4 linked regions of the Lepisosteus oculatus genome follow. The protein of the gene in region 1 interacts with the protein of each later gene in a pairwise test. Links are inferred from orthologs where the notes say so. Each region holds a gene or a part of one and is shown in the gene's direction. Other genes may lie near its edges. The genes, in order: agtrap, ndrg4, mrm1 and pdhx.

Region 1 (7,356 bases):
ATGTGAAATATCTGCTTCAAAAGCTTCATAGCCTTTTAATTTGAAGAAACATTATTGGCAAATGTTGCGATCAGTCAATGTTTGTAAACCACCACTGGGTCTAATCCTAATTCTGTCTCTGACTCTAGCTCTGGGCTCAGAGTTAAGGTTGGAGCTGAGGTTAAGGTTAGGATTTAGAGTTTGAATTCATGTAGTGTAGCACTGGAGTATGAGTTAGACCTTCAGTTAGGCCTAGGTTAAGGGTTGGAGCAAGGTTGTGCTTAATGTTAGGATTGGGGTATATGTGAGAGTTAAAACTAAAATAAGGGTAAGGAGAAGAGACAACCTCTTGAGAATAGCTACACTGTGGGAGGTATTCAAGATAAACAGCAAAGATTATGTCAGTGTTAAGTTTAAGTTTGGAGCTATGGTTAAGTGCTGGATTAGGGTTAGGCTGGATGAAAGTTTGGAAATTGGGTTGGGGAGGGCTTGTGTTTAGTGTTTGGATTAGTGTTGCAGCTAAGTGTTGTATGGGATAACATGAACTACTCCCAGACCAGCCACACACTGGCTAACTTGTTTTGCCATTGTACTATATTTTAGTAGTCCTACCCTCTGCACCCACTTTTGAAATCGCCTTCATCACTGCCCCTGCCACCACCCACACAGTTCCATACACTTTCACCTTTCTCGCTTCCTGCACAAGCCAAGAAACTCTTGATTTTTATGCAAACTTTTATCAAATGATTGATTTTGCTATTTATCTCACCCGACAAGAAGATACGGGTATTTTGACATTCACAATAGACACAATTTTTACTTATTTCACTGATTTGAGATCAGATCTTTCACAGAGTGACTTTTGTAGGCCTGTTTGTAGACAGCCCGAGAGTTTTAAAATGTGCAAATTGATCTTTTTTCCAGAAGCTCCTCTGTTAATTTCAGGTCAAAGATAAGCAAGACTGCTGTACATTATTATTGCATGTTGTAATAACATAAAGATGCATTTCCTCTGTTAATGATATTTATTGACTTATGAGATTTAGTAATGTCACAGATGTTATGACCTTGAGTTCTGGGTGGCCCACTAAACTCTTAGTATTGATCATGCATAAGTTGTAATTTAAGACAAGCTAAATATATTGACAAAATTATTCTCTGATGTGCTGCCTTTTCTAGCTCATAGATACAAGGATACAGTGCTTTGGGAAGATGTATTTTGTTGATGGAGCTTGTATCCTATTTTAAAATTCAGTAAACCCTCAGTTTTATGAACTAACAGAGGCAAAGTGGTGTCAGGTATAAGTCTGTTAAATAATGTAGAAAATACATACATATATATGCTTACTGGGTCTTTTAACTTTGAATGGCTACAACACAGCCAGTGAAATTGTCCATGTGCCTTATGTAAATATACTAGCTCTTTATTTAGTGTACTGTAAATATATGGTATAAAATTTGCTAAAGTAACAAAACATAAATAACTTCCATTGTAAGCAATTGACCTGGATAACAGTACAAACCAATGAAATATTTATTTTTGCTTTGTTTAATTATTGGTGCACTTCATTTTTGTGGGAAAAGTCCGATAAAAAGAAAATGATTCACTAGGAATAACAGCACCCGAGAATTAAGCGTCCTGAAGGGATTATGGGGTGTTTGATGAAAATTTGACTTAACCTGCTTGACTGAGGGCTGACCCCTTACATACACAACAAAGACAACACCTATGAGTATTTATAATACAAGTGTGCAGTAGAGCTTCTGTATTCACCTGACCAATGAATACAGATTTCTTGAGTGTGTGAAGGAGTGGGACAATTTAGTGTGAAGTAAAAGTGATTTCTTCTGTAACTGACTACCTAACAGTTTTGCAGTGCTTCTGCAGGTCAGCTCCTAATGAATACCACTGCCAGGCACTCCAGAGTTGCCCCACCCCTCTGATAGTGAGGTGGCCAAGCCCAGCCCATCTCCTCATATGCATTAGCTGCAAAGTGTCTACTTGTATTCTTTTTATTTTCATTGAAAACTATAAAAAAACAATGGAGAAAACAAATGAATGAACGCCCAGTGTGGGTGTTGGGCTGCTGGAGCTGAGGAGTTTGTGATGCGTTTTGCATCTCCAAGAATTCTACCTAATACTGTATAACTGAGACCCCTTTTCAGTGCCAGTGAATCTGAGCCCCGTGTGAATCTCAAACATTCTCCTTAAGAAAGAACATGGATATATACAGTATATACTGTATGAAACATCAGAGCACCGTGCCAGGACTGTTCTGAAGCACCAGGTTGGTGTTCTGTAATTGTGTGCAAATGTCTTGCTGTACAAATCACTGCCTTAGCTGATGGAGCATCTTCACAGTACAATACAAGCTGATGCAAATGTGAGAGGCAATGATGTACAAGAGGAGTGGTATGAGCACAGAACAGATCACATGTGGCAGCTGACACCCCATGTGTTCCCCAGCTTGATTAAAGACGTTTTTGTATCTGTAATTTTCCAGCAATCAGACAAAGCAAGGTGCATATTTCTCATTACTGAATTGTTTATTCTGAGGTACGATTGTCTTTCACACTACTCTTTGAAAAACACCTTGTTTGGACAATGACACACGGGCAGAAGATGGACATTTCCTGTTTCGAACTGTTCCTGAAATCACCAGTATTCTGCTTCCCTCGTCTGTATTCCTCTGCCCCAGAGCAAAACAGATCTCGTACCAGAATGCCATTATGGAGGTGCTGCTTCTGCTGGCCATTCCACGCATGTCAAATACAGCCCTGGGTCAAGGCAATAGGATCACTAGAACATGTGCACCTGCAGCTGAAAACAGAGTAGGTCCACAATTTGTTGCTACGTTACATTAACAATAGAAGGATTGATCCCACATCTCAGAAAAAAATGAATGAATCTGTACGTTAAACAGGTGTAGCTGGGCCAGCAGAACCTCAAGGAGAGAGGAGGTCTGCAGGAGGAATGGGGGAGCAGGGACAGAGAGGAAGAGTATAACAGAGCCTCTCCACCGCCCCCTCTCTTAGAGCAGTGTCACCGAGCTCAGGGGTCACCGGGTCAGCAGGAGGGGTGATCCTGCCACAGGACCCCGCTCTTTACAACCAGCCCACCATCTGCTGTGCTTTTTGTAGCCCAACAAAGGAGGTTTTTAAACAGCCAGGCGTGAAAGAAGAGACTAAAGTAGAGAAGAAAGGCGCATGGCACACATTTCCACACACTTGCGGTGGGGCCTGTGCGCCGCTCTTTGATTTATAGACCCCCAGTCTTCCTGAAATTGGGAGCAGCAGAGGTTTCCATGACAGCTGCGGGCTTCTGTTTCAAGTTTATGAACATCCAGATCATGTGGAGCCTCCGGTGTCTGCTGTAATAATAGAAGATTAATTGGTTTGCAAAAAATGGTTACAAAAGTAATTAAAATTGTAATCTGGAACGTCTTCAGCTGCTTGCTAGTGTAATAACACACAAATAATGTAAGATGGGGACACAATTCACTGAGCCCAAGTTTGATTTTTTAATGAATTAAACAAGGACAACTTTTTAAGAACACTGAAGTTTTAATCAACAGATTTCAAATTATTTTATTAAGGAACCTTTTCATAGTAAGCTTATACTAAGAGCAGTCATCAAGGTTTACTACAGCTGGGGAATTCCACGCGTGTATTTCACATTTTACAATGCTTAACGCACCTATTACTCAATTCTTCATGACTCACAGACTTCATCAAAGTATCTTGCTGTATGTAACAAATGCTTTTGCATATATTTAAAATCTTAACTTCTCAAACTCACTCCTCACTGAGGTAACATTGCATCTATCTGCCATAAAAGGCAGCATTTCCAAGTGTAATGGTATGTTGTCTGTTCAGCGCAGAGATTTGGGAAATTCCTGGTGTGAACAGCTTGGAATAGAGACGTGCTCTCACCTGAAAAAGCAAACCAGTGTGTGTGGGCACACAGCGGGGCTGTGACCAGTGACCAGAGGCCGGGCTGTCATTACAACAGAATGACCTGCTTATTGAAAGGAGTTTTTTATTTTTTTAACTTTGAACACCTTAAACCACCAGTGCAAAAACACACCAAATACTAAGTGAATATGGATTTTAAATACCTGCTTTCTCCCTGGTATTAGAATAGACGGATGAAGATACATCCACATCCACATCCACATCCACATCCACATCCACATCCACATCCACATCCACATCCACATCCACAGAACCAAGAGGACCAGGAACTAGGAAAGTACCCTGTTCTTAAGGGCAGTGCAACTTTAAAGGGTTCTAAGCAGAATTTCACCCAATCATCTTTCAACACCCCTTCACTATTCCGCATCTAACGCAATTCCTTCGGTGGGTGAAGGCGGGGGATGAGGCTGCTGACGTTCACGTGGTGCTGTCAGGGTGGGCACGGTCACGTGGAGAGAGTCAGGCTGCCGTCACATGGTTTGTGTTTGCAGCTCTGCCACGGAGGGCGGAGACCGGGAAGTTCAGAGAGAGAAATTACGGTACTGTACTTTTATATGATTTCTGTTTGGACGCAAAAGCAAAAAAGGCTGAGTGGGAGTGGATAGACACTCGACAAGAGCATGGAAATTCCAGCCATAAATCTTAAGGTAAATATTAAAATTTGGATTGTTTATAGAAGTGCATGAACAGAAAGACAGACAGGTCTGTTAAATGTACGTCAACGTGCAACTGCTTTCTGTTTCTGTAATTTGCATTCAGTCAGTTCAATCTGATAAACCGTAGGAGATAATTAGTGGCATTTCTTATCCTGTCTTCAGCAGAAAACTGTTGATTTCCTAGATTAAACTGTATGTTGTAGAACATTTCATCCTATAAATGAAAATAAAAGTTTGTTTACGTGTAGTTCACGCTAAAAGTACACACAAGCTCCAAAGGGCTTATCTTCTGTACATCTCTACTTTTAAATGTAGAGCTCACACGTTTAGGAGAACTCATAAATCCACAACACAAGAAGTGACAATTTTGCGATCCGTCCGGGGGCCTGATTTTACATCTATGCGAGTGGCGCTGAATAAACTCTTTGCCACTACCGGATTATTATTTTATTATTAGGTTTTGGATAGCTGTAATGAACCTCTGTCTGCCTCTCCCCACAGGCAATTATACTGGTTCACTGGCTTCTGACAGTATGGTAAGCGGCTTGATTTTTTTTCTTTTCAAACAGCTGAGGAATTTCTCCGGCTGCCCTACTGCCGTTTTTAATTTTTGGAGGAGGGTATATGTACTTTCTAACCTTCCACTACCCCAACCCGAAAATAACTTTCTTTGCTTTTCAAGACTGCAGTGGTGCCTTCTCTAGGTTTTCTTTCGCTGCCCAGAGTTTTCGTGTTGACACCCAAAGCAGTGAATGATATCCTTTCCCTTTTCTTTTAAGTAAGAAAAGTAAGCATGTTGATTTAAAAATATATATATATATTGTAAGACCAGTCAATATGGGTTTATTACAAATCCTTATTATAGGTTTGAGGTTCAGAACTAAATATTTATTGTATGTAATATGTGTGGTTTTATATTGATAATCTGGATTATTATGGATTTAGGTCCGTATTCCTTAAACACTTTCTGTTGTGTACCTAATTCAGTGAATTTGCTAAAAGAAGAGAAGATTTCCCACAATGAGGAAGAAACTTTGGTATTTCTGACAATATGTATAGTTTACCATAATGGAAAAATGCAGAAACTAAACATTGCATTATTATTTTACTATTTGTATGACCCTAACCACTTTTTAACTATTCTCTTGTGTGGTTTATGCATCTAATGAGAAACATAACCGTCGGTTGTCGATTAAGAAAGCCTAGACTGAAAGTGAAGTTGAATTGAGCTGCAACAGGAAAGTAACGTGACTCAGTTCTCTGCTGTTAAAAAGGAAACAAGTTTACACAATGTGTGTTTTGCAAAGCGTTGTGTCCACTGTTACGTACAAAGTTATTGGTTGTAGATGTTCTGGGAGTTTTGATGAAATAGTTACAAGAATGGAACTCCACAATAAGTTAAGGAGCCCTTTTTACAGCTTATTACTGTGTGGTATTCTTAATTTCTCAGTATGAAAGGTAGGTCATACAGCACAGTGACAAAAAGGCACAATGAGTATGCTTGCAGTTTGTGCCACTCATAGAGAAGCCTCTGAATTATTCATATTTTAAAATTTAGACTAGCAAAATGTATGAGTATGAATAGAAATTCATAGAAATCAATGGGTTTTTTTGTAGCAATAAAGGCTATTAGCATCAACACACAGTAAGACATCTGGCTCTGGGGTTGTTGTGAAGCGAATGTTGAAGTAGAGCTGTCCTGTGCTGGTCTCCAGGGCCTGTATGTACATCTGGCTGCCTTCATCCTACGCTTGGGGTAACTTCAGTGTCCTGGCAGTGGGCGTCTGGGCTGTCGCTCAGAGGGACTCCATTGATGCTGTACTCATGGTGAGTTGGAAGACTTTCCACATGCTCCCTTGAAAACGATGCCGCATATTTGTTTTTTGACAAGTTGGGGAATGCACCCAATCAGCTAAGATGACACCTTTTCACGGCAAAGCCTTTGCTCCAAATTAAACCTGCGTTGTTGTACAACGGGTTAAAAGGAAGACAGTGTTGTGAATGTGTAGCAGCTCAGAAACACACAGCCCACATGGAGGAATGCGGCGACCTCTTGAGATATTGCACCATTTAACTTTACAGGAATCAGGACGTTGTCCGTAAGACACACACTGTAATGCATTACGCAATGTGGTGGATTTGGTTTTAATTTGCTTTCCTACGGTTTAAAAGTTGCACTTCGGTCAGCTTCCTGTAATAGCCTTTAGCTGTTGTGTTTCCCAGCGTGATTCCCAGTGCTTACCTACCTTGTCCTCTCTCCCACCCACTCCCACGCCTTCTCCCAGTTTCTGGCCGGAATGGCGGTGACGATATTGACCGATATTATTCATCTGGGAATTTACTACGCCGCAGTGGAGAGCGGCACGCCCCCCGGATTGAGGGACACGTTCCGCTTCTGCGCCGGCATGGCCATCCTCAGCCTGCTGCTCAAGCCCGCCTCCTGCTTCTTCGTCTACCAGATGTACCGGGAGAGGGGAGGCGACTGCAACGTGACCTTCGGTAAGCACAGGGCCTCCTCTGGGTCGGGGCCTGGCTGTGGGTCTGCTCCCGAGCCTCGGCCTGTTCTCATGCAGTCGTTGAGACAGGTTCTTTCATTTCTGTTTGGTATTAAGAATTTGACACCTACCAAACACTGCTGTGGATTGTAACAGGCCAAACAAGTTGAAGGAGTTTCTACTTGAGTAGGCCTGACTGCAGACGCTACATTTCCCTTGAACTCAGAAAGGATTTTCTGGATGCTTTGTAC
Region 2 (8,007 bases), on another chromosome or scaffold:
CCTTTATCCGAGATAACTTACTGTACATAAATCCCCATGTGGTCAGTGAAGCATCACAGTTTTGCAGATGACGGTAACTTCCACAGTGCAACACGCAGAGTGATGCAGGAGCTGCAACACTGTGTATGGAAATAAGGAATGATGCCACAGCCAATGGCTGTGCAAGCAAGATACCGTAACAACAACAACGTTTGTAAAGGTCTTTACACATAGCAGAGATCTACTTCATCACCAGCTGAAGAGCAGCACCCATTTCTCCACAAGAGGAGAATGGAATCACGATTGTAGCTCAAGGATTCAGAGCAAAAACATGAAAATATGAGAAAAAAAAAACACTTCTACAGTCGGGCAGCTTGGTGAGGTGCTGGCGGTGAATTGCAGCTTTTGAGGCAGACAGTTGGAAGTGATGTGTTTTGAATTCATGCATCCCTGAAGGGAGTGAGATTTAACAGTAGTGCACCACTTCTGCTTCAAACATGCAAAGAGGTGTAAAAGCAGTGTGTTATAGGTTATTACAATTTGATTTTTATTAATTACCCAGAATAACTCAAAAGCAACCATGCAGACGCCTTGCTAAGAGACACTGTGCAGGTTTGAGTAACTGTCCTAGCTCCAACTGCTTCTGTAATTCTGCTAAACATTGATTATAATCAGTTTACAAAAGCGTGGCTCATGCTGAGACCTTTTAGTGTGCAATGTTTAGTGTTCTTTGTAAACACGTCATTTGTCATTTTTTTCTTTTTGTTCTAGAAACCCTGTTAGTTTTCACCTTTTATGGTTCGCTGTAGATGTACAGTAGGAGAGTGAAAGGCAAACATTGTCCGTAGAGCAATGCTGTGAGTCAGAGAGAGTCCTGGGGTGCCTGAATACTGGCCACCAGGATCTGTGAAATACTGTCGGCTGTTAACATACAATATAACAATGGTTTTCAATAGCTACTGAATGAAGATATTAACTTCAGCTGAAATACCGAGAAAGCAAAAAAAGCTTGGAATGAGTATGGGTTTTTACTTGATGATATGTCTGTCGAAGGCTTTTATGGGATTTAAAACATCTGACACTTTAAGGTCACTGTGATTTGGACCCATCCAGTAAACACACTGCAATGGCAATAATGATGGCTCCTCACAGCTGAATGGCACTGAACACTGTCCTATACAGGGGCGACTTTATGTTTTGAAGGTGAATCACTTTGTAAAAATCTCCATTCCTGCATGCCGGCCCATCTAAACTAGATGCTCAATAATTTTCTGATTGGGTTTTTAGATGTCAATTTTCATAGAAACAGAAGATCAGAAAGAGATGTGTTGAGATGTTTAGGTAGTTTATACTGTAACGTTTGTGGAATTCAGCCAGTCCACCAGGCCCGGCATTTTGCAAACAGCACAATTGGAATCTGTAATGACTCAGGTCTTGAAGTGGTCAGGTCCTCTGTGTAAAATCTACTCCAGAATGGCATCTTCTACAGTATAGTGTCCCCTTTCCTAAACTGGAGTTTTTGTTTGGAGCTTTTGATTTAGAGGGAACGGTCCCACCTGTCTGCCTGTCCACACATCCTTCATCAGCCTGAGCTTCCATCCAGTTACTGTAGGTCACCTTGCAGAGTGAAAGGATTTTTTGTGTTACTAAATGCACAAATACCTGGAGAGTGTGTGCCAGTGTTGTTCTTGTATTCTGCTTTCTTCCAACAGTTCAGAAAAGCTTTTTAGCTGAAGGGCAGATGCCCCATGCTGTGGAGTCCTCAGACAAGATGCAAGTTTGTGAACTTCAGCACAACTTGAATTTAAAACATATTCCTGCCCACCACTACTCATGACTTCCATCCCCAGTCGTTTGGTTTTAGATGGCAAATTTCATAGAATAATCTTTTGCATATATTGAGCCCTCCCCTGTCAAACGAACACTTCTTGAAATGTTCACCAAGTTCCATTTGCAAACTGCTGGTACAATTTTGACTTGGTTTTGCCTTAAGTGTTGTGTATTCAGTCAGCTCTTTCATGGTTTCTACACACTTGCATTACACATGTACGGCACCATTCCTCTCTGGCCTTTACTCTCCACTTGTTACAACATTGCTGTGCTATACTAGCTGGCATTGTGCTCTTGCTCTTGCATACCTCAGTGTGAATGTGAAAACAGGCCCCCCCCTACAGTACCTCTTTTACAATTTCTGGTTTCCAAAACCTTTCTTAAATCAGCCTTCTGGATGAGCATCTGCATCCGGCCCTGCATTCTACACAAGGATAAGCCTAAAATATATTGTTAGTTTATTCCTACTGTGTACTACGTGGTGTGAAACAAATATCATATGAACAATCTTGAGCAGAAACCCAAACAAATCATCAGGCCTAAACCAGTGCCATATAGCATTTGAACCCTTAAATGCACTCAATGTTAATATTGATCACATTTCTGTAATATTATTCTCCAGGATATCCTAAGGTAATTTAAGACCATTTTGAATACATGTTTTTTTTGTCCATTGGTATTTTGTACTCTAGAAAGTATTTTTGGATGAACCTCAACAAAAGTGTTGAGAAAGTGTTAAGCTGAGAGTTGAGGTTTGGGTTGAACTAGGGTTAGGAAGACTGTAAGGCTGTTACTGTAAGTAAAATAGTAAAACTGTGATATTGCATTTGTTTCAAGAGTAAAACACCACATTTCAATGGTGAAAGCAATACCTCCCCTCCTGTATGCTTGCCAAGGGGAATCCTTTGGAATGTGAAGTGCTGTATAAATGCAATTAATGATCATTTCCATTTTCTGGGCCTGATTGTTTTGTTTTTCTCCTATTGTTTTTTTCTGTGGAGGGGTGTGTCTGCTGCTCACAGCCCTTGGATCAGATCAGCAGTTTCACAGGCTCATGTCCACAACAGGTCCGTCATGCAGAGGGCAGCTTGTGCAGGCGCTTTTATTTTTAACTTAAGATAACCAAATCCAAGAGCAATGTTGACCTTATCTCTGTCCTGCCCTTGGGCTTTGAAGAAACAGCTGTGGGGTTGTTATGCCTAACTGGTTCCCAGCGCAGGAGTCTGTGTCCATCTGCCTCTTGCCTCCTGGCTGTGAGCATTTATCACTGCACCTCCTAACACCAGCCTGACAGAACCAACCAGTTTGATTTTGTTGATCTAACCAGTAAATTTGAACAAAAGAGAATGACAAGACTGCAGCCTTGAGCCAAGATGACTGTTCTTCCTTATAAAGAACAACAGAATCAGACTTGCTTGCTCCTGAACTTGTCTTCATCATTAGGACAGGCTAGCGTGCAACCTGCCCATCCAGGACCTGTGATACATCACCCAGTAGAATTCATTATGTCGTGTAAAGCTTGCTGAGTCCCAAGATCAGGAACTCAACAACTACATAATGCTTGGCTATGGAGCCTTCATTCATTCTCCATTCTGGATGATCCCATTTCTTCAGGGATACACCTCCACAACAGTACAGGCGCCCTTGACATTACAGCAGCTGATTTGATGTGCTGTTCCTTCTTAGATGCAGGCTTAACTTTATGGGCTACTCTCTTCTAAGGCTCTTGGGTACCATTAACCGTGGCAGTTTACAGAGAGAGTTCTTTTCCTTCTCATAAAATTCCTTACACTCAGAGCACTCCAAGATTCACTCATTCATCCCAGGTGAATTCGAATTCGGATTCAGCAGCTCTGTCTATTTGTGCATCCAGGTGGATGCTGCACATTGGTGGTGATGGAGGGGAGTCCCCATTACCTGTAAAGCGCTTTGAGTGGAGTGTCCAGAAAAGCACTATATAAGTGTAAACAATTATTATTATTAGTAACTCGGCAGCCATTTTGGCTCAAGAGTGCCCGGGTTTGAGCCAAGATGGTTTCCTTCCCAAGAGAAATCATCTTTGTCTCCATCACAGCTCTACATTTGCAGTTCTCAGTTGGGTTGTGCTTATTTGCGAACAAGGGTAGGTTATGGGGTGAAGTAAAATGAGCAGGTAGGCAGGTGGGTGAGCTTTGGCCTGTGGCCTGAGGCCAGAGCTCTACACAGTGCATTGCTGGATGGGTCTCCCGTTCCTCTCCTGTTGCCTACCTGTTAGCTCAGATGTACCATTCTCTCCAGAGCGAGATTCCGATCTGATCAGGGCTGCCTCCGCTTACCTCAATCTGTTCAGGGAAAGGAGAACAAAAACAGCCCTGGGTTGAGTCTGCCTGTGCAAATACAGAAAAGCCACAGTAACTTGCAGGAGAGGCATCTTGATCAATCCCTCTGTACTGTGTGTTTTAAAAAAATGCCTCCAGAACTCCAGAGTTGTGGAATGACCAACATAGATTAATGTTTTTTTTTCAGGTACAATGAAAAGTCACAAAAATGCTGACTTCATGTAGACTTCATTATTATGATTATAAGTGTCTTATTTCTCAAGCAAAAAAAAAATTGCTGTAAATATTTTAGGTGTTCAGGTTCCTTGTTGTTTAAAACTTGGTAGCAGTGTGTCATAGACGGAGATATATCAACATAAAGATGCTGCTGCAAGATTAGCATGCCCCAGAAGGGCCTGAGGCCTAACAAGTCTCAATTCTAGTTTCAAATGCATGTTACATAACATGCAACAATACCAATAGGAGTTTAAAAGCAAGGAGACTATCGCCAGCACGAAACTGCTGTTTCACAATTAACAATCTAGTGAGATATACAGCACGAGGGCAGAAAAATGAGCTTTTAGTAGAAATCACAGAGAAACATGATCTCAGATGGAGAACTCGAGGGGAGAATGAGGTACAGTATTGTAGCAGCAAATGTGAAAGACAGGCTAATTTATAATTAACTCTGGGGGGGGGTGTTAGACATGCACAAAAATTTTCACCTAAACCATTTTATAATGAAAACACTCCTAAGTGCCTGTGTGGGTGTTATTTTTTTTTGCTCTGCTTTCATCTCCCTGATTCGTTTGAGACTGGTGCCAGAGAGCTGCCTGTCGCAGTCTAGGTCTCTTCGTGGAAGTAGCCACCTCTCTCTCTCTCCCCTCCCTCCCTCTCTCTCCCTCTCATCTCCAGCCTCACAGAGCAGGGGGAGTCTGCACACTCGTCAGTTCCCCTGCCGCATCACCACAGACGCACGTGCTTTCTGTTTATTGCCTCTCAGAACAAGCCACCCAGGCGCGTTCTCCCAGGGTAGGCTGTTCCTCGCACACAGAGGCCGAGGACGAGAGAACAGGAGACACGAGCACAAAGAAACCAGCCTAAACCACATCACAACAGGTAGGAGACTTTATTTATCATCTGCATGGCGATCAGCTGTGGGCTTTAAACTGCACATTCTGTTCAGCACCGTGGAGTTATTTTTAATTTGAATTCTTTAATCTGGATGTGCTGCCGGTATGATCAGGGGAGCTGTATTGCAGTCTTACACCCAGATTTCTGAGCTCATGTGTTACATACTAGTCCATAATGGGCAAGACTGGCATGGCGTCAGTGTTCCACGATCTGCGATGGCATCAGGACACCATCAGGTGAATTAATTAACCCCTGAAGTTCTGCTTTAAATGGGAAATCTAAACACTGGATATGTATCAAAGTAAAGACCTTATCAGAATACCCTCTGTAATGCCATGCTTCTCCTCTGGCTAAACAGGAGATTCTGAAATTCAACAATACAAATTTTAGTTTTGAATCCAGTGTCTCTTATTTTTACTGGTTTTATAAATATTGAAGTGACGGGCAACTTTGTCAAAATGTTCGTAAAGCACAGCTCAGTTTATCAAGTGGAATACAGGATATACACAATTCCTCGTTAAGTGGTTTCTTTTTATAAGCAAAGAGCTAAACACTTCTAAATTGTTAGGAGGCATTTAGGTTAAAGCTGTTGTTCTGGGGATATAAGTTTGGCAGGAGGAGATTGCTATGTACAGCACTGAAATAAAAAAAATATTGCACAATAAATTGCTTGAGAGATGTGACATTTCTGGATTATTGAAAAAAAACAATTTAAAAACCTTCACAGGCCCTGTTTTTCATCTGCCTTAATTCACAAGCAACGTTTTTTATTTGCTAGTATCAGATTATCTGGAGCCCCACATGGGGCTGTGATGGTGTAAGGGAATCTTCAATGAAAACCTTTATTAAAAAAACATTATACAAAGGAAAGATCTGGATGAACATAAAGATATTTAACTCTTTCTCCATTTCAAGAATCCAATATTGTTTGGAAAACATGAAAGAAAATGATCGTGAAGCTGTCCGATTTAAAATTTCTTAATTAGTATTTACATGCAAACTATGTGATATTTGTAAAGATATCTGAAATAATTTGTATGAAGCTGCTTTTAATCCATCTAACATAATACAGGCTGGATATGTGATGCAAGAGTGACATGCTTGATTAAAAAAGATCAAACCAAAGTCATTTACATAGCAAATGTTGGAAGGGGTTTGTTTTTAACAGACTAGTCTTTGTGAAATCTACTGGGAAATCAGGAATACATCTAAGGAGAAATAGTTGAATATTTTCCAGATTCTGTTGCATGAAAAGTATAAAAACCCTTTATCTATACAACTCGCTAAACACAACAATCGTGTTAATTAGAAGTAGTATGTCTCAAATAATTACATTTTTTTAATTTAATTTTTATAGAATGCTCAACTACCCCTTCTGTTTCTTTATTCTCTTATTCTTCACTATCCCCAAGTCCTCATGCTCCCAAACGTGTACTGTAAGTAGTAGAGTAATTCCTTGAATATGACGGATATTAACCGTCAATCAGATAACTGAAAGTAGCAGTGCTGCATTGCCCACAGGAAGGTAGCCCTGATATTAACCAAGCATATACTGTAGGTGCGCAGTCAATCACAGAAATGCCTTCTGAGTTTTATTGTTAGAGGTGCCCCCTGCTGGGCCAACCTGCTCCTGCAGTGCCGGCGTCCTCAGCTAGGTTGGTGGTATAGTATGACCGGACACTGCCGGACAAAGTCAGCACCACCACACAACACCACCCGGGATTTCTGGGACCCGTCAACACTCTGGAATGAGAGACCAATATCAGGGGATGAGCCGCTTGTGGGTTCAGAAGAGTTTGATATGGAAAACTCTGGCGATGAAATCCCTCTTGCTTCTGTTCCTGGGCAATCACAGCTCTGCAGGCTTTCAGATAATCAGATGGGACATCAAAGCTTTAAATCAAGCTGTCATTTTGATCAATAAGGCAGAGCGAATCCCCATGTCACCCTGTACCTGGAGACCCAGGAGTGAGTATTTCTACTCTTATTTGATTTTCATGCCGCTAGGAAGACATGCAACCCGACAGCATAGATGCCTAGTCAATCCCACCTTTTGAGGCTTTTGAGCTTCAGGCTGTGATGCCCAGGATGTTTCAATTGATTTTCTTTTCTTGACTTCGTTTTTTTGTCATCCCACTCTCTCACTGTGACACGTCCAGGCAGATTTAATATCTCTTAAGAAGACGACCATCCAATTACGTCTATGTTGCACAATCTGAAGAAGAAAGCATATGCAATTGAGTTCTTTAACAGAATTCTGAATGTTATATTTTTAATACAGTTGTAAATTATTTAGTGATCTCTCTATAAAAGGTGACTTGGATAACATTGTATTTATAATCTTTTGTGTATATACAGTAGCACCTTTCATGACATCATGACATGATCTGCAGCACATTAAGCAAAAGCATTAGAAACCTATTGGATTAATACCCATTTTAATACAATTAATAGATTTAAAAGCTAGAGAATATTTTTAAATTTAAATGATATAGGTGTAGGCGGAGTTAACTGTACAATGATATATTCAAGGTGTCCTGTAGCATTTTTAATTTTCTTCTGAAATCCACAATCAGAGCAATTGCTGTGCTGTTAATATAAACTACACAATGGCTGTGTAAAGTGACATCATATCATATATAATGTATGTAAATTATTCTAGTTACATATATTGTTAAGAGAGGTACAAGAAAAAAGTTGGAATCAATGTCATGCAGTTATCTACAGCATGCAAAGCAATGTATGATACCACAAGACATTAAAGAGA
Region 3 (7,872 bases), on another chromosome or scaffold:
CATAGCAATTTAATTCATTAAATGGTTTATCTGAAGCAGTGGTAGATCTTCGACTTGAAAGCATCGATCCGACTGCACGGAACCTTTTGAGGACGGGAACCAATTTTATTTGCCTTGTAAGACTTCTTGACGGATTTAACTGCCTGAATTCAAATCGATTCCATTGAAGACTTGTGTATGCAGTTGTGTGTGAGACGGGATCAAAATCTTGCGATTACCAATCAAGTGCTTGAAAGAGAGTAGCCTTGAAGTGTGAAATGGGGACATCTACTGGAGAAAAGCAGTGTTACACGTAAATAAAGAGGAAAACAGGAAGTGAATCCGACACTCGCAGGGAGGTGGTTGTAAAACTGGGAGGACAGTGTTTCTGAAACAACCCAAACAGCACAGTTAAACTCTGCAGCGCGGAGTCGGGTGATTGAAGAGCCGAAGGAGAAATGGCCGCTTTTTTAACTGCGATTGCCCTGGTGGTTTTTGTTTACTTGCTCATTTATTACGGCGTGTTTAAAGGTCAGGTGTGCAAAAGCACCGCGGTGCTGAAGGGAAAAACCGCGATTGTAACAGGTGAGCCAAGCTGTTATTAATTATAATGCCAGACGCGTGAATGAGTATTCCTATGACCAGCTCTCCTAGTGAAAGCCCTGATGCCACTCTCTGTGGTTTTCCCTTAACTTCAGCCGTGCTTTCCTGTTCTCTGCAGCGTGTTGTTTCTAAAGCTAGATCGCGTGTTTTCACCTCCAAAAAATTCTTAGTTCATTCATTAAAACTTTTTTTCTCAGTTTTTTTTTGGATACAGGATATTCATATTAAGATGACAAGATGTATTGCGAATATTTTACTCCCTGAAGTCCATGGTCTGTTCGGTCAGGGGCGATTTCGTACTCCTGGAAGATGATATTGTACCTGTGCAGTTGAAATGGTAGCTGTAGTGTTGAGTGTTTCTGCTGACATGAGTCATGTCTAGTGACCCATTTACGCGCCCTCCTTTTCTGAGGACCGCACAACCTTAAAAATGTTAGCACAAAAACGCAACACAACCCGCACATTCGAACATAACCTTTCCAGGCTGGGATCTAGCAAACTTTTGCAGCGCTGTCCGTTTCCACTGCACGCATTAACAAGGGAGGTAAGTCTTGCAACGGTGTCGATGTATGAACTCTGACCTTTGACCCCCCCACCTCTGATTTCTGACACCTAATGTCCTCGGTGTGTTTCTCCTCCAGGTGGCAACACAGGGATTGGGAAGGCCACGGCTCTGGAGCTGGCCAGGAGAGGGGCCAGGGTCGTCCTGGCCTGCCGCAGTAAGCAGAGGGCAGAGGCGGCCGTCTATGACATCAGGAGGGTAAGAGACCTGGTCTTTTCCTCTTTGTGTTGTCGGGCAGTCTCACACAGCAGTGAAGGGGAGTGAAGAACTGCACTAGCTGGGAATTTGTCACAGGAATTCGGTGTGCAGTAGTTCTGTCTGGGTTGGCAGTGCGCGTTACAGAATTAAGAGTGACCCGTCCCGTTGTCAAAGCCCCTGACCGGAGGGCCTGCTGGATCTGTGACAGTCTCCCTGGGCCTCGCTGCCTGCACACACGCTTGTCTTTCAGGAAACCGGCAGCAGTGAGGTGGTGTTCATGGAGCTGGACCTGGCCAGCCTGCAGTCTGTGCGCTCCTTCGCCGAGACCTTCCTGAAGACGGAGCCCAGGCTGGATCTGCTCATCAATAACGCAGGTGGGGCCCGGGGAGGAGGAGACCCGCAGGACTGGGCTCGGCCTCGCAGACACAGCTGGGCTCCTGGAGGGGTAGAGCCACACTTTGTATTGCAGTACGGCCCTTCAGAACACACCGCTCAAAATAGGTTTCCACCACAGACCCGTGACCAGGGACATGAGGCACAGCTGTCTGTTCGGTCGAAACGCTTCCAGTCCGCTGCCCTTCCTCCAGACAGGCAGCGGACAGTGTGCTGGGACAGAGCTCCGCCGACACTCCTCTGTGCTGGCAGTGCGTGAGTTCAGCAACAGAGCAGAAGCACGCAGGGCCCACCCATAACATGGAAATCTAGACTGCTTTTGCATGCTTTGGGTGTTTCTCCCTGTACTCGAACATCTTGGTGCAATGAGACCGTATGACGTTGCTTGAAAATTAGAGGGTAATTTAAGATACGACCACACATCCCTGTTCCGACTACACATATACTGAAATTAGCTTCTGGGAGATGGGGTATAGAATAAGGTCAAGCTACCATACATAAATCAGCAGTATGTAAGGATATGTGTCTGTGTATTTAACAGTCTTCCCATGGCTTTCTGACTGCCTCAGGTATGATGGGTCCAGGCAGGACTGCGGATGGTTTCGGCATGGCCTTTGGGGTCAATCACCTGGGTCACTTCCTGTTGACCTCTCTCCTGCTGGAGCGGCTGAAGGAGGGGGGTCCGAGCCGCGTGGTCAACGTCGCGGCGCTGCTCCACCGCCTGGGCGATATCGACTTCGGCACCCTGAGCACCCACAAAGACCTGGTGCCCCACCAGTCCGCCTGGCAGAACTTCAGGGCCTACTGTCACAGCAAGCTGTGCAACCTGCTCTTCACCCGTGAGCTGGCCAACAGGCTGGAGGGCACCAGCGTCAGCTGCTACAGTCTTCACCCAGGTCAGTGCAGTCCCAACACGCCCACTGCTCCAAATCTGCTTTCAGTGTACTCATCTCAGCTCTGCCGTGCTGACGCCATCCGCCAACAGTTGAAAATGCAATGTGCAATGTCTTGTGCTTAAGTCACAGGGGTCTATGTAACACATTTCACTATGTAACACAGTTTTGACGACAAATACTGCTTGTTAACTGCGCCTGCAGATCACGTTGGAACGTTTCTGCAGTGAAATGTCGGCTGCACAACCCATACTTTTTCTCGTACATCTCATTACATTAGTCATCGCAGGGACTAGTGAGCAGGAAGGGCCGCCTCGCATCTCGGTTCACATGAATCCTCTCACTCGCCCGTGGTGAGACCAGCGGTTTCCAACGACATGGCGACCGTACAGTACGTTCACAAAGTTCACGACTTTGTGCTGAATTCAGAATTCGTAAAATTACCGTCGGCGAATTTTATTTTGTAGCCGAGATTTAATAGCTGATCTGAGAATCTGAGGCTGCAGCTTCCTTTTAACGTGTGTTTTTAAATTAAGGATAGCAAGGAGTCTCGGCTGCCTGACTTCTGGTAATCAGCAGCGAACAAAAAGACGTTTCAGCTTGTTCGTTGTTGCACGAGAGATAGAAGCGTAAAACGAAGTCATCTCGTTTTCAGTGCCTTGGGAGGCTCTTTTGTGATGCGGTCTGCAGTCGTGGTTGTGACATAGAGGGCTGACCCTGCTGTCCTGTGCTTGCCGGCTGCAGGAGTGGTGGACACAGAGCTGGCCCGCGGGGTGGTGCCTCTTCTGCTGCCCGTGGCCAGGCTGTTCTTCCTGGACGCGGAGGCCGGCGCCCAGACCACCCTGCACTGCGCCCTGCAGGAGGGCATCGAGCCCCTCAGCGGGCGCTACTTCTCCTGCTGCTCCGTGCAGGAGGTGGGGGCCAAGGCCCGGGACGACGCGGTGGCCAGGAAGCTGTGGGAGGTCAGCGAGAGGCTGACCGGCCTGGCCTGACTGCACATAGGATCTCCACCGCAGACGAGGGAGAGGAGAGGGCGTCGGGATTTGGCCAGAGCTCGGTTTAGGGTTAGGGAAACTGCAATGCTGTGAGAAACTACTCTTCCATGTGTGTTCAAATGCTTAAATTGAGAGAGTGTGTGAGTAGACTTCTTGTCAAACATGACTTGAATATATCTCTGGGGTTTACATACATTTCATGATGAGAACAGGCTTTTTGGACCTTGAGTTTCCTAAATGCTGAGGACCAGATTAAACGAGAAAAGTTACCGCTATGCACACTATAAAGCATGGCTGTAGTGATGCAATTACTGCACTGATTGACAACAGGCTTGGCCGATTCTCTCACAGCCTGGAGCTGAATTCTGGACGATCTCAGCGCCCACAGCCCCCGAAATGTGGATGGTGGATGTAAATGAATGAAACGTTTTTCCTTCCTCGTATGGACGGCCTTTCCTTTGCATGGTGCTCTTCTGAAATTGGTGTGGGGGCCTCGAACAGGCTAGGTTTCAAGAGTGCAGAGAGGCACTGGGACAAGTGTGGGAGGTTTTTCCGGTTGTGCTGGATGGGCCTGTAACACAGGGCTGTTCAAGGGATGGGCGGCACTTTAATAAGAATGTAGCAAGTTTAGATTTTACTCGAGATTTGATTATATTTTTATTTTGCTAACTGGTTAGGAATTACCTGTTGGCATACATCATAGTTTTTATGGTGCCTCTAACTTGATCCAACATGGGTGGTGGCAAATTCACTCATACTGTTGCCTTCTGGCTGAGCATTTTAATCACATTTCTAAACCTCTGTGTCCGTGACCACAAGGACATTTGTTTTTCAGGTCTTAGAAGGTGCGCTGTCCTTAGAAGGGGAGACTTTGGTTTTTGTTTTTTGAGCCGCACGCTACTTCTGCTTGCTGTGCTTAATTCTTCTGTCTCCGCACGCGTCTGGTTATTTCTGCCTCGGTGTCTTGTCTGCTAAGTCCGCTTCTTCCAGGTCGGACAAGCTAAAAAACCCTGGAATTTCTGCCCGTGTTTCTCCGTGTAAGGAGGGTTAAGACTTTTTTTTTTAGAAATTTAAAAATCGGTTGTATTGCCCACATTGTCTGCCCAGCGGCTGTGGCTGAAACTGAATAAAAAGTTGATTTTCTCTTAGATTATTTCTTCGTGTTGATTTTCACTGAGTATGGGCACTGTTGCACGTTTATTGTAACGAGTGGAACAAAATTAAGTCGAGGGGCACTCTTTCAGTGGTAAGGGACATGCAGAGTATCCTGTAAATTCTCACGTTGAACCAATTCAGTTCAGATACAATATATAGCTCTTTTATGTATTGCAGAAATATTCAGAGGAGCAGTGTTATTGAGTTACCTGTATGAAACTGGGCATCTCATTGATGTTCTTGCCTGAGTGAAGTAAAACCCAATATTATTATATTCCTGCAGTTTCTTTCAAACCGGTAACATTTACCATTAAAAAAAAAACGCGAGAACCCTGATTTTTATTATGTGTTTAATTGTTGCTGTTTGGTCAATGGCAATGGGGTAAATTAAATGGGCGTCTTTTCTCTGGAGTGACGGAAGAGGGCGCTGTTTAATTTGTCGTGAGCGCAGAGGGTGGAAGTTGTTTCCTCGGTTCCTCGCGGCGGTGTTGCAGGAAGGAGTGTGATGTGTGTGAGTCCCGTCTTTTTTTTTTTATAAAAGGGGTGGCATTTCTTTTACATAAATTGGAATATGGGCAAATAACCTGAAAGGTGCCGGGTTTGTCCGTTAGAAAGTTTAAAAGACTAATCTCGGAGATCGAGAAACGCTGCTGCATAGCTGTATTGCGCGACGTTTCACTCCACGTGTAAAATTGCTGGGATAATTGAACAACAGAAGTACGAGGGTGTCCTGGTCATTGATTGCATCAGGAGCAGTGTTCCAAAATACATTATGTGTTTAAACCCTACCTTTGCTAAACCTTACACGTACTCTAAAAGGGTCCACATGTATATCTGATTTATTAGTAGAGTCCCTTTTTAATTTTTACTTTTAATAAAACATTGCCAATTGCCAAAGACTGACCCATTTTATCGATAAAGAGCTCGGTGTCCTTGCTTTACAAATAGTATGCTCAGATTCTTTAAGAACATGCCTCCTTTGATATCTCGTATGGAGTAACCTGCTAACCAGGTTACACAAGGTGGTGTTGTAATGAGGGTTTCAGTTGGTTACAAGCAGACTATCCTAGAGGGGATGAGTGAATTCACTGAGATCTGTTGAGGAGTGATGACAGGGTTCACCTGAGCCAGACCTTGTCCGTGTGGGTGTATGTGTAAACGGAGCTGAATTAAGATCCGCTGTGTAGTCATTTCAAACTATACAGAAATTTGAAGCAGATCTTTCATGCATAATGGTCCCCATCTTTTAATTGGTGTCATCACTCTGCTCCCCTCCTCACCGAGAGCTGGTGTGTGGTGAGAGTACTGGTTCACTATGGCTGCCGTCGCATCATCCAAGTGGATGCTGCACACTGGTGGTGGTGGAGGGGATCCCAGATACCTGTAAAGTGCTTTGAGTTGGAGTGTCCAGAAAAGCTCTATATAAGTGTAAGAAATTAATAATAATTATTATACATGAATGATTTATTTTTCTAGGCATTCCAGGATTGAAAAGCACTAGAAATTCTTTTTTTGGGGGTTCTTTAAAATTTACCTCCAGAACATGAATCGCAGTTGGAGTATTGCCCTCTCGGCCCTTGATGAACCTCTTAATTCAGCTCTTCAGTTCAAACTTGTGACTTGAAGTGGGGTATCCAGAAAACGTGCTATATAAGTGTAAAGGATTAATTATGGTGGGGAGCTGCGTCAGCATGCGTAGGCTGCAAAGGAACATGCTTAAAATCGCGCATGTTTCAGAGGTGGCCTGCTGTTCTGTTTCAGTCTGAGCCCGGCGACGCGTGTCCTGAGAATGAGGTTGTGGCTGGGGAGGAGTGCACCCGTACTCTGTGTGAGCAGTCTGAACAGAGCCACGGGGGTGATCTGTGAATCAATAACCCGTAGTCCCCCCTGGCAGTCCTATCATGCCTCCCTGCCACACCTCTCTGCGCGAGACAAGGACGGGGGGTCACGGAGAGGTCCCGGCGGAGGGGCCCGCGATGGCTATGGCGCCCCCTGTAGGCTGGGAGGTCAGTCTGAGCGCTCGGGAGTGGGGCAGCCGACCTCCAGGAAGAGCATGAGGTTCGGGGGCTCAGCCACAGCTGACCTGGGCTGCAGAACCGGAAGCCGGCTCTCCAGCGAGCTCCGGAACCTGAGCGAGGAGGACTTCCCCAGGAGGAAGCCGAAGGCTCGTGGGGAAAAAGCCCCGGCTGAGGCTGAACTCCGGGGCACTGAAATCGTGTTTGGCGCAGCCCCCTGCCTCCTGGCTCTCTCCCAGGGCAGGAGGAGGCTGTGCAGGCTCTTCGTGAAGCAGGGCCTTGCCCTGCAGAGGCCGGACCTGCAGCAGGCGTGCCGGCAGGCCCAGAGCAAGCAGGTGGAGGTCCAGCAGGTGAACCGGAAGGAGCTGGACAGGCTGGCCTCAGGCAGGGTCCACCAGGGCCTGTGTCTGGAGGCCAGTCCCCTGGGCTACCAGACAGACGATCCCGCCCTGGAGGGAGAGCCAGGCCGGGACTCGGCAGGGCCCCCTCTCTGGCTGGTTCTGGATGGGATCCAGGACCCGATGAACCTGGGAGCCATTCTGCGCTCTGCCTATTTCCTGGGGGTGGACAGGATCGCCAGCAGCCTGCGGAACAGGTACGTTCCAGACCTGTTTTCCAAAGGGGAGCTGCAGCCCCAGTTTCTCGGACCAGGGGGTAAATCTCGGTCACAAAATAAATGAATTAACGGTATCGCAAAATCTTACAAATTCAGAATTGAGCACAAAACCGGGAAGCAAAAAGTCGCCATGTTGCAAACCCCTTTGTCTCGCCAGGGAGAGAGTGAGAGTTCGTGCAAACTGCAACATGAAGCGGCCCTTCCTGCTCACTAGTCACTGTAATGGCTAACGTAATGTGTTGGACGAGTGAATAAATACAGGTTGTGTAGCAGATATTTCACCGCAGAAGTGTTTCACCGTCATCTGCGTGCGGAATGAACAAGTAGTGTTTGTCAGTAAAACCTCCTCGTAATATTTCTGTTGGATTAAAAGACGTGTTCACAAGCCTGCTTGTATGTCATGTCTAAGAGCCACTTCACCTTCCCGTACATATTGTTACCTTGTTCTGAGTCACAGAATATG
Region 4 (7,512 bases), on another chromosome or scaffold:
AGTTTTTAATCAAGCTCCTAGCTCGCCTGCCTGTAACAGCAACCCACCCTCTCCAACTGCACCTTTTCACTTAGCATTCTACCACACTGCAGTGCAGAACTGATTGATGACCTTGTTGATTCTGCTGTTCCCTGTTCCCTTCCAAGACTTAGCCTATCTGTCGCCTAGTCCCCCTCTTTGTCTTATTGTCCCTCTCATCCTTCCTCCCTTGTCACCCCCGCTCTGGAGCCTGCTATCCAGAAACATTGTGGCTATACCTTCTCTGATTGCTCCCCGGCACCTCCTAAAGACCCTACAGTAAATATCTGATTTTTATGCGACTGATTCAAAGCAACAGCCTTCATTAGAAAGGCAGTTACCCAGTTTGAAACATTTGAAACCTAATAAGTATACATAGCAACATATCACTGAGCGGCTGATGTCGGCTGGCCAATAGCCCCTCGCACTCCTTGAGCTGCCTTAGGAGCATGGATTCTTCTTTTGGGTGGCTTCAAGGTGTGGCCCCCAATGCCTGCAGAGGCCATACTGCCAATATTTCTTAAATTAATCAGATTTAATTGCTAACATAATTAAGATAAATACAGCTTAATTACAGAATGACGTGGGGAATAACCTGCTGCCTTTTATCACCTTACTAGTAGAAGGAAGACAATTTGCCAAGTGATGACCTAAAACAAGGAAGTAAAGGCTTTCAACGCCTGAGAGCAGAATCTACACATGACAAGTAGGACAATGATTAATAAAGTATATAGACATATGATGGTGCTAGTAAACAGTACTTCTGCCAAACTTTGTGCTCAGCGACAAACTTGAGAAGAGCTTTGTTAGGGCTCTAAAGCAGTTAGGTTTTGTTTTGTATTTTGACAATTTACTGCTATTTTCCTTTCTAATTAAAGACACTAATTCTAATTCAGCTTGTGTGTCACGCATGAAAGAGCTGTAAAAGAAGATAACTGAGTGAATTAGTTATCATGGGTTGTAACACACAGACGTTTTTTTTTTGTCCTGGGTAGCTGACACTAAAGTTTATGTTCTGGAAATGGGTGGAAGATACATTAACACTTAATTTGTGGTGGAAGGAAGTTTGCAAAGTGATGCAGAAAGTGCAGTAGTTGATTGCTAGCACTCTAGAGATTAGGAGATCTTAGCATTAATCTACTGCTTCCATGCTTGGAGAAAGACAGCATAGAAGATACAGCATTCTGCTATCCAACACACTTTCTCCTTAATACACCACAAATATGTCCTTATTTTACTTTTTAGTTTAGAAATAACCTTTAACTTTTAATTTGAAGCTCACATGCCAACACAGCTCCGTACTCTGAACAATCTGGGTATTTTATTGGTAAAATTGTTTTTTTTGTATTTAAAATTGTACTAGGATATATCTGACTTATATGAAAGCTAAAAAAATATTATCCGACTAGATACCTGAGATAAGATACATTAACCAGACACCTAATGTCAAGGGGAGAAAAAAGGCATTAAACTCAAAAGGTATTCAGTTACAGGTCCCAGGCAGTTCCTCAGAGATCTTTACTGACCTGAATCCTTTCCTTCTGCACTCCTGAGGGGGCAATGTAGATGTGATCTCTGAAGGGGTAGGCCAGAGAGATACAGTCAGAACACAATCTCATTAAGCATTTGCTTCTAAGTGAAGTAACAAGAACTACTTGCTTTATTTTAACTGAACAAGACAGTTACTGCCTTTATCCAATGAGAAGTTACACCTGTCTTCTCCACAATAAAGAATGTAATCTATATCACCTGGACACTCTTTTTTTAATCTAACACATGAACATGACAAAGGACTGTCTTCACCTCAAAAAAAAAACATACCAGTATAAATCAGACACATTTTAAAGTAACTTACAGGAGGGATTTTATCTTGATGAAATATCCCTGTTACACACATTCACACCTGAAGAAGGCTCCACGGCCAAAACGTGTTTTTTTTTCTTTTCTTTTCAACATGGAATAAACCTATTACTTGTTCCTATAACACTGTTATCCTGTTTACCTCTTGACAACCTCTTTATACATTTGTGATATAGATGCATTGTAGTGCACATGCTTCTACTGCTTCAGCCTCAGTAGATTTAGCACACTGTTGACTTACTATTTAGGCTCACAGCTGAGAGAGTAGACGGTAGTCTCCTGTAAGAGGGCAGTGACTCCAGACAAAATGGAGATTCGGTTTGCAAGGACAAGTGGTCAGGTGAGAATTTAAAAGGGCTGAGGCTTGACAGGGTCAGCCTCTGGCTTCCTTTCCTCACGCCTAGCGCAGCACGCACAGTGGAGGATCTGCGCTCTGTCCCCAGATGGCAAGGCGAGTTACACCTTGAAGACATTTTGTCTGGGGTCACCGGCCTCTCACACCTTCCCAAACCTGAATGGGCACAACTGAATGAAGATTGTCTTCACTTCATACTCTTTCTATGAAATGGCATTTGTTCTCTGAATTGGTGCTGCACACTGGATGACCACACCAGATTTCTAAGCTTCAGGCTTGGCATACTCACCCCTGCCTGAGACTGATACCCCCTCCTGTTCCTGTCACCCAGCCTAACTGGTAGAAGAGTTTGCAGAGCTCAGGAATCAGCAACCTTGGGTTGTCCTTGTCCTGGAATGGAAAATATTCACTAAAACAAACGGCAATCTCATTCTGTCTCAAGCAAATTCCATTACTGTCCAGTCAGTTCAAGGAGTAGGGCACTAGGGAGTATTCTTGACCACCATCCGGTGCAGAGCAGCTCAACATCTGTGCTGTTTTTGTTGCAATATACTGCTCATTTCTTAATTGTGCAAGGCCACAACTCGCAAATAAAATACATGTCGAAGGTATCTGTCACGTGAGTGATTATTTAATTGTGGAACGTCATAATAATTCAGCGGCAATACCACAGAATAAACGCTAAAAGGGACAATTAGCACATTGCATTATGTGCGTCTGTTGCTTGAAAGTTTCTAAAAGCAGGCTGACCACATGGCAGCGTAAACGACGTTTATATCATCGACATTCGCGTTGTCCGGATTTAAAGGGGGGGAAAACTTCAATATTGTTACGTAACGTAAACACATTTTATATTTCTGAGAAAGCAACTTTGGATAAACTTACCTCAATAGATTGGGCACATTTAGAGCAGTCGCGATTATAGACCGCTGAAGACATTTTTAGCAATACTCTTCGGCAAATAAAAATTAATGCCTAAATTAAGGCCTAAACTTGCTTTCGTTCCTTGACCGTGTACTTGGTCACAAGAACGCCTTAAAGAACAGGACGATGAAAACGAAAACCGCTCGCCACCCACCCCTCACGTTTTTGAGGCACAGAAAGTCTAAACAGTACAGCCACTATGTTGGTTTTCGATGGCTGCTGCTCCCTGCTGCTCCCTGCTGCATAAGTCTGCGCAGCGTCTGCACAGATCTGCACAGGTCCGCTTCATGTGACGTCGTATGTGACGTCACTGCGCAGCCCCGGTCAGTAAACTCGGTAACTCTGGAAGACAAGATGCGCATGTTGCTGGTATCATCGTGAGGCACAGCTTGCTGGATCATCTGCAGCTCTGAAAATCTGAATATTATCCAGCCCACAAGTACCAGAATTAAACTAACTGAACATTTCTTTTTGTTTAATTGAGAAACAAATGAGTGTTCCTAAGATGCTAATGATTTAACCTATAAAGGCTATAGGAACTGGGGTTCTGTGTACCAGAGAGGTAAACTGACACCAGAGATATACTGACACTGCACTTGTAATTACTGTCAGAAGTGTTAAATTACCTTAGGTGTGCCTCCAGTCTGTTGTTCTTCCCCCCTCACAATGTATTTTTGTGAAACAAAGGTTGTCAAAATACAGCAGAGAAGCAGGCACAACATTGCAGGAACTCCTCCTGCTACAAACCCTTCTCATCCAACACAATAAGAGATGGAGCAGGTGACCACCTATTCAGCAAAAGATGAGGTAAGCAGGATGTGGATGTGAAAAGGTATCATCCCAACCTGCTTTATTTACTCTACATTGTGAAATCCACATGTTACAGTGTGACATGCCGCATTCCTGTGTCCAGGGGACACATTTTCACAAGAAAACCCCTGGCTTGAGGTGGAGATTACATCAACTACAACTCAAGGGCAAAATGAACACAGGTGCACAACTCTGGTCCTCACAAGAAGAATCCAGCAAGGGTTAATATCCTACTTCCTCCTACTTTTTTTAGTAGCTTGGGTGTTTGGGTACCAACTGATAATGTTTTAAGGAGGGAGCTGTATAACACACCTACACTGAATTAAACTGGAAGGGCTGGGCTTTGCCTGCGCATATGCAACAGTGCGGAGTTTGCAGACTTTTCTGGCTTAGCAGTCGAAATTTGCATGCAGCTCTGCTCTTGCCTGCCCGACCGCCGAGTGCAGTGAGATCTGCGCAGATCTGCAGGCTTTGCGTATAAAGGAAGCGACAAGAAGCGCGAAGGACCTCTTCTCATGGATGGGGTCCTTCTATCACAATTGTCGTTTGTTTTTGTAGTTAGTTATCCTGCCTAAATTTAAATTGTTTTATTTAAAATAAGTGGGAAAATGTCATATTTTCGTTAAACAGCACTAACGTGAAACATGCAGTAAAAAACGTATCCATTCATTTCTGCACTCAGAAACGCAAAACTTTGAAAGGCAGTAGGGTAACTGGTAATTTCCGAGGACACAAATATGGCGGCCTCCTTGCGGATGGGACATCGGGGGATATTGAGTGGTTTGAGGTTAATAAAACTGAAGAAATGCACCGGTTTAACCCAAACTCAGGATGGATATTATCGGCACTTTTTTCAGTCCTCACCAATGTTTGGTAAGTGTTGGCGTGTCACATGATAAAAACCAAAACGCACATCGCTGGCTGGGTTATAATGGAAGGTTGTGTGCTACTTGTACTGCTGTATTTTATTTTTACGCTGTTTTAAAGTTTTTAAAGCGTTAAGACTAGCACGCACGGTTCCCCTTCTAAATTGTAGTACACGTACAAGCCAGAAATAGACAACAGACGGGGACATTTAACGTTGATCATCTCAAGTTACTGTACACATTAGGAGTTTAGATTTTAATTCATAAACATAACATTGCAGTTCTTTATATAGTGCATTAGATCAAGCAATAGGTTTATTCCTGCTGAAAAGAGAAGAATGGGAACACAACGTTTCGGGTGTTGAGCCTTCTTCCGGTGGCACACCCTTCCTCCACCGTCCACACCCGAAGAAGGCTCCATAGCCGAAACGTTGTGTTCTCAGGAATAAACCTTTTCTTGTTCCTTTGCAGCCTACGCATGCTAACGCAGCTATACAGCTGGACTACTTCACAATATGCATTTTATGTGTATTATGTTATATCTTGTTGTTGATTTATGTTGGAATAGGCTGGGGGTAATCAGCATGTTTGCTGTAGCATTAGTTAACGGCAACCTCACCACCTTGTTGCTGATCCCTGCATGTTTCTATTACATAAACTTTGTAAAATTGAGTATATGAACAAAACTATATTAAACTGCATAGTCCACTCAACACTATTTCTACCTTTCATTATGTTATGGTGCTGCTTGTCTAAAGGAGAAAAAAAAGTCTTCTGTCTGCTAAAGGGAGACAAAGGCAATATGAAGGTTATGTGATAGAATAGTAGCCAACCTAAAACTGGGATGAAAACTCGCTTTTCATCAGAGCAGTGACCCACAAAATGAGTCCAAAGCTACATTCAAGTGGAACAACAGAAAGTGAGTGCTATTGAGTGTTCTAGTCATGATTCTGACTTCCATCCAATGGAAAGCCAAGACTTTGAAAATCGGCCATCAATAATAAGTGTCGGTGAGAACAGTCAGCTGCAGTATACATCCTGTTATTTTATTCATTATATCTTTCCAGGTAGTGAGAAGATGAAAGAGTAATCCTTACCAAGTGATTATGAACTCCTATCATTTTTCATACATGATTTGTGTCATATTGTTACTACTTTGTGATTAGTCTTTAAATTCTGCAGGAAAAAAAAGAGAACATTCAAGGCATGCTTGTCTGCCCCCTTAGAGCATAGCAGTCCTTTGTATGATGTTCTGCTTCAGGCCCTGCATCACACAGCGTCGATTAGTACAACTGGGGTTGGCTGTCCCTTTCTTGTTACTGCTTTGGTTACTGTTCCTTTGCATGGCCTTCATGTTGCCTTCATCAGTGCTACATGTTTTAATTTTGCATGGCTATCTCTCTAATGCAGTTTGTTTTCTCCTTATAACCATGCATTATACCGGTCTAACTTGCTAGATCTAAAGCATCATGTACTATTAGGATATGGTGTCATTGACGATTTAGTCTTTAGTAGGTTTTAAAAGGTATCGTAGAACTCATTAACAAAAAGCAATCAGAACAACTGGGTGGAAAGCATTTTAAAAGAAGTGCTAATTCGATCATTGCAATAGTAATGAACAATAATTCCATTTTGTTGTGATTCTTCAAAGGGGCTGCAGGGGGCAGCAAAGTCTCTTTGCAATTGTTTTTTAATCACGGTTTACTTTTTGTACTGAGCCTCCTCAAGAAGTAAAGTTGGCTCTGACCCTTCATCTAGATACCCTGAGTGTTCTTAGACCATTCCAGTCTATCGTCTATTTTGTTTTTCTTGAAGTAGTTTGGGACCTCAGCTACTTGGTTGGGAGAGCAGAAATCCACAACTCTTTTTGTCAAGAAGGATTCTGTTATTTTTGTAGTCTACCTTAAATTAATTCCCTGCTACTTTCCAGTTGTGATCCTGTATTCATTTTTGGTGAAGTAGTCCCCTGGGTTAACTATGTTTGCTGTATATTGTACCCATTACAGTTTTATACACATGTAATACATCTCCTCTTGCTCTGTTGTGTTAAAAGCAAAGACATGCTGCTCTTTTAATCTGTCTGGATAAACCAGTACCTCTTGAGGTAAGGACTCTTGTTTGTCTTGGTTGTCTGAACTCTTTCCATGGCTGTGATATCCTTTTTGTGGAATAGTGTGCAAAACTAAGCACAATATTCAAACTCATGTGTTACAAATGCTTTACAAACCTTAACCATAATCTTCTTTTAAATTAAATGCTTTATACTTTGTGGTTTGGGGTCATCAAAAAATCTGCAGGAACATCCCTTCATGTGTGGTTTCCCACTTTAGAATCATCCAGTCAACTTTTTGTACAGTGCTCTCTTTCTTTTTTCTTTTTTTTTTGTCCAGTACCATTAAGGCTGTTTTTTCTAGACCTGGACTTTTTGCTCCAGGATTTTTTTTTAACCTTAAACATTACATTTGTTTGGGTCACATAAATTGGGTTATACATAGTCCCGTAAAGTTTTTGTACGATTCATAAAGTGTGAGAATTAATTTATTTATTGGTAACCCTCCTCCTCCACCCATCTCTGTGGCTGCTGCTGCTTGTAAGAGTCGGTGTGTTTCCTTCTGTCCTTCAGGAGTGGCCCCAGTCAAAGTGATGATGCCAGCTCTTTCCCCCACCATGGAGGAGGGC

Evidence for each region.
Region 2: the proteins of agtrap (region 1) and ndrg4 interact in binary tests that used the Homo sapiens proteins (3 or more experiments, as listed by UniProt). The two-hybrid records come from large-scale screens. The link is inferred for Lepisosteus oculatus from reciprocal best matches to the Homo sapiens genes AGTRAP and NDRG4.
Region 3: the proteins of agtrap (region 1) and mrm1 interact in binary tests that used the Homo sapiens proteins (3 or more experiments, as listed by UniProt). The two-hybrid records come from large-scale screens. The link is inferred for Lepisosteus oculatus from reciprocal best matches to the Homo sapiens genes AGTRAP and MRM1.
Region 4: the proteins of agtrap (region 1) and pdhx interact in binary tests that used the Homo sapiens proteins (3 or more experiments, as listed by UniProt). The two-hybrid records come from large-scale screens. The link is inferred for Lepisosteus oculatus from reciprocal best matches to the Homo sapiens genes AGTRAP and PDHX.

Annotation. Positions count from the first base shown.
Region 1 is NC_090720.1:5,640,898-5,648,253, reverse strand, and holds the start of agtrap (type-1 angiotensin II receptor-associated protein), read left to right. Parts: upstream 1-4,340; 5' UTR 4,341-4,355; coding exon 4,356-4,493; exon of another isoform or gene 4,494-4,574; coding exon of another isoform or gene 4,575-4,601; intron 4,602-5,111; coding exon 5,112-5,146; intron 5,147-6,325; coding exon 6,326-6,437; intron 6,438-6,895; coding exon 6,896-7,109; intron 7,110-7,356. UniProt on the Homo sapiens protein: Appears to be a negative regulator of type-1 angiotensin II receptor-mediated signaling by regulating receptor internalization as well as mechanism of receptor desensitization such as phosphorylation.
Region 2 is NC_090715.1:12,051,274-12,059,280, reverse strand, and holds the start of ndrg4 (protein NDRG4), read left to right. Parts: upstream 1-4,996; 5' UTR 4,997-5,225; intron 5,226-8,007. UniProt on the Homo sapiens protein: Contributes to the maintenance of intracerebral BDNF levels within the normal range, which is necessary for the preservation of spatial learning and the resistance to neuronal cell death caused by ischemic stress.
Region 3 is NC_090721.1:7,566,966-7,574,837, forward strand, and holds the start of mrm1 (rRNA methyltransferase 1, mitochondrial), read left to right. Parts: upstream 1-4,861; 5' UTR 4,862-5,285; exon of another isoform or gene 5,286-5,289; intron 5,290-6,539; 5' UTR 6,540-6,567; coding exon 6,568-7,388; intron 7,389-7,872. Other genes in the region: dehydrogenase/reductase SDR family member 13-like, read left to right, coding at 438-564, 1,224-1,342, 1,593-1,716, 2,305-2,631, 3,373-3,620. UniProt on the Homo sapiens protein: S-adenosyl-L-methionine-dependent 2'-O-ribose methyltransferase that catalyzes the formation of 2'-O-methylguanosine at position 1145 (Gm1145) in the 16S mitochondrial large subunit ribosomal RNA (mtLSU rRNA), a universally conserved modification in the peptidyl transferase domain of the mtLSU rRNA.
Region 4 is NC_090716.1:14,266,328-14,273,839, reverse strand, and holds the start of pdhx (pyruvate dehydrogenase protein X component, mitochondrial), read left to right. Parts: upstream 1-4,500; 5' UTR 4,501-4,704; coding exon 4,705-4,840; intron 4,841-7,456; coding exon 7,457-7,512. Other genes in the region: apip (methylthioribulose-1-phosphate dehydratase), read right to left, coding at 1,545-1,593, 2,523-2,623, 3,119-3,172.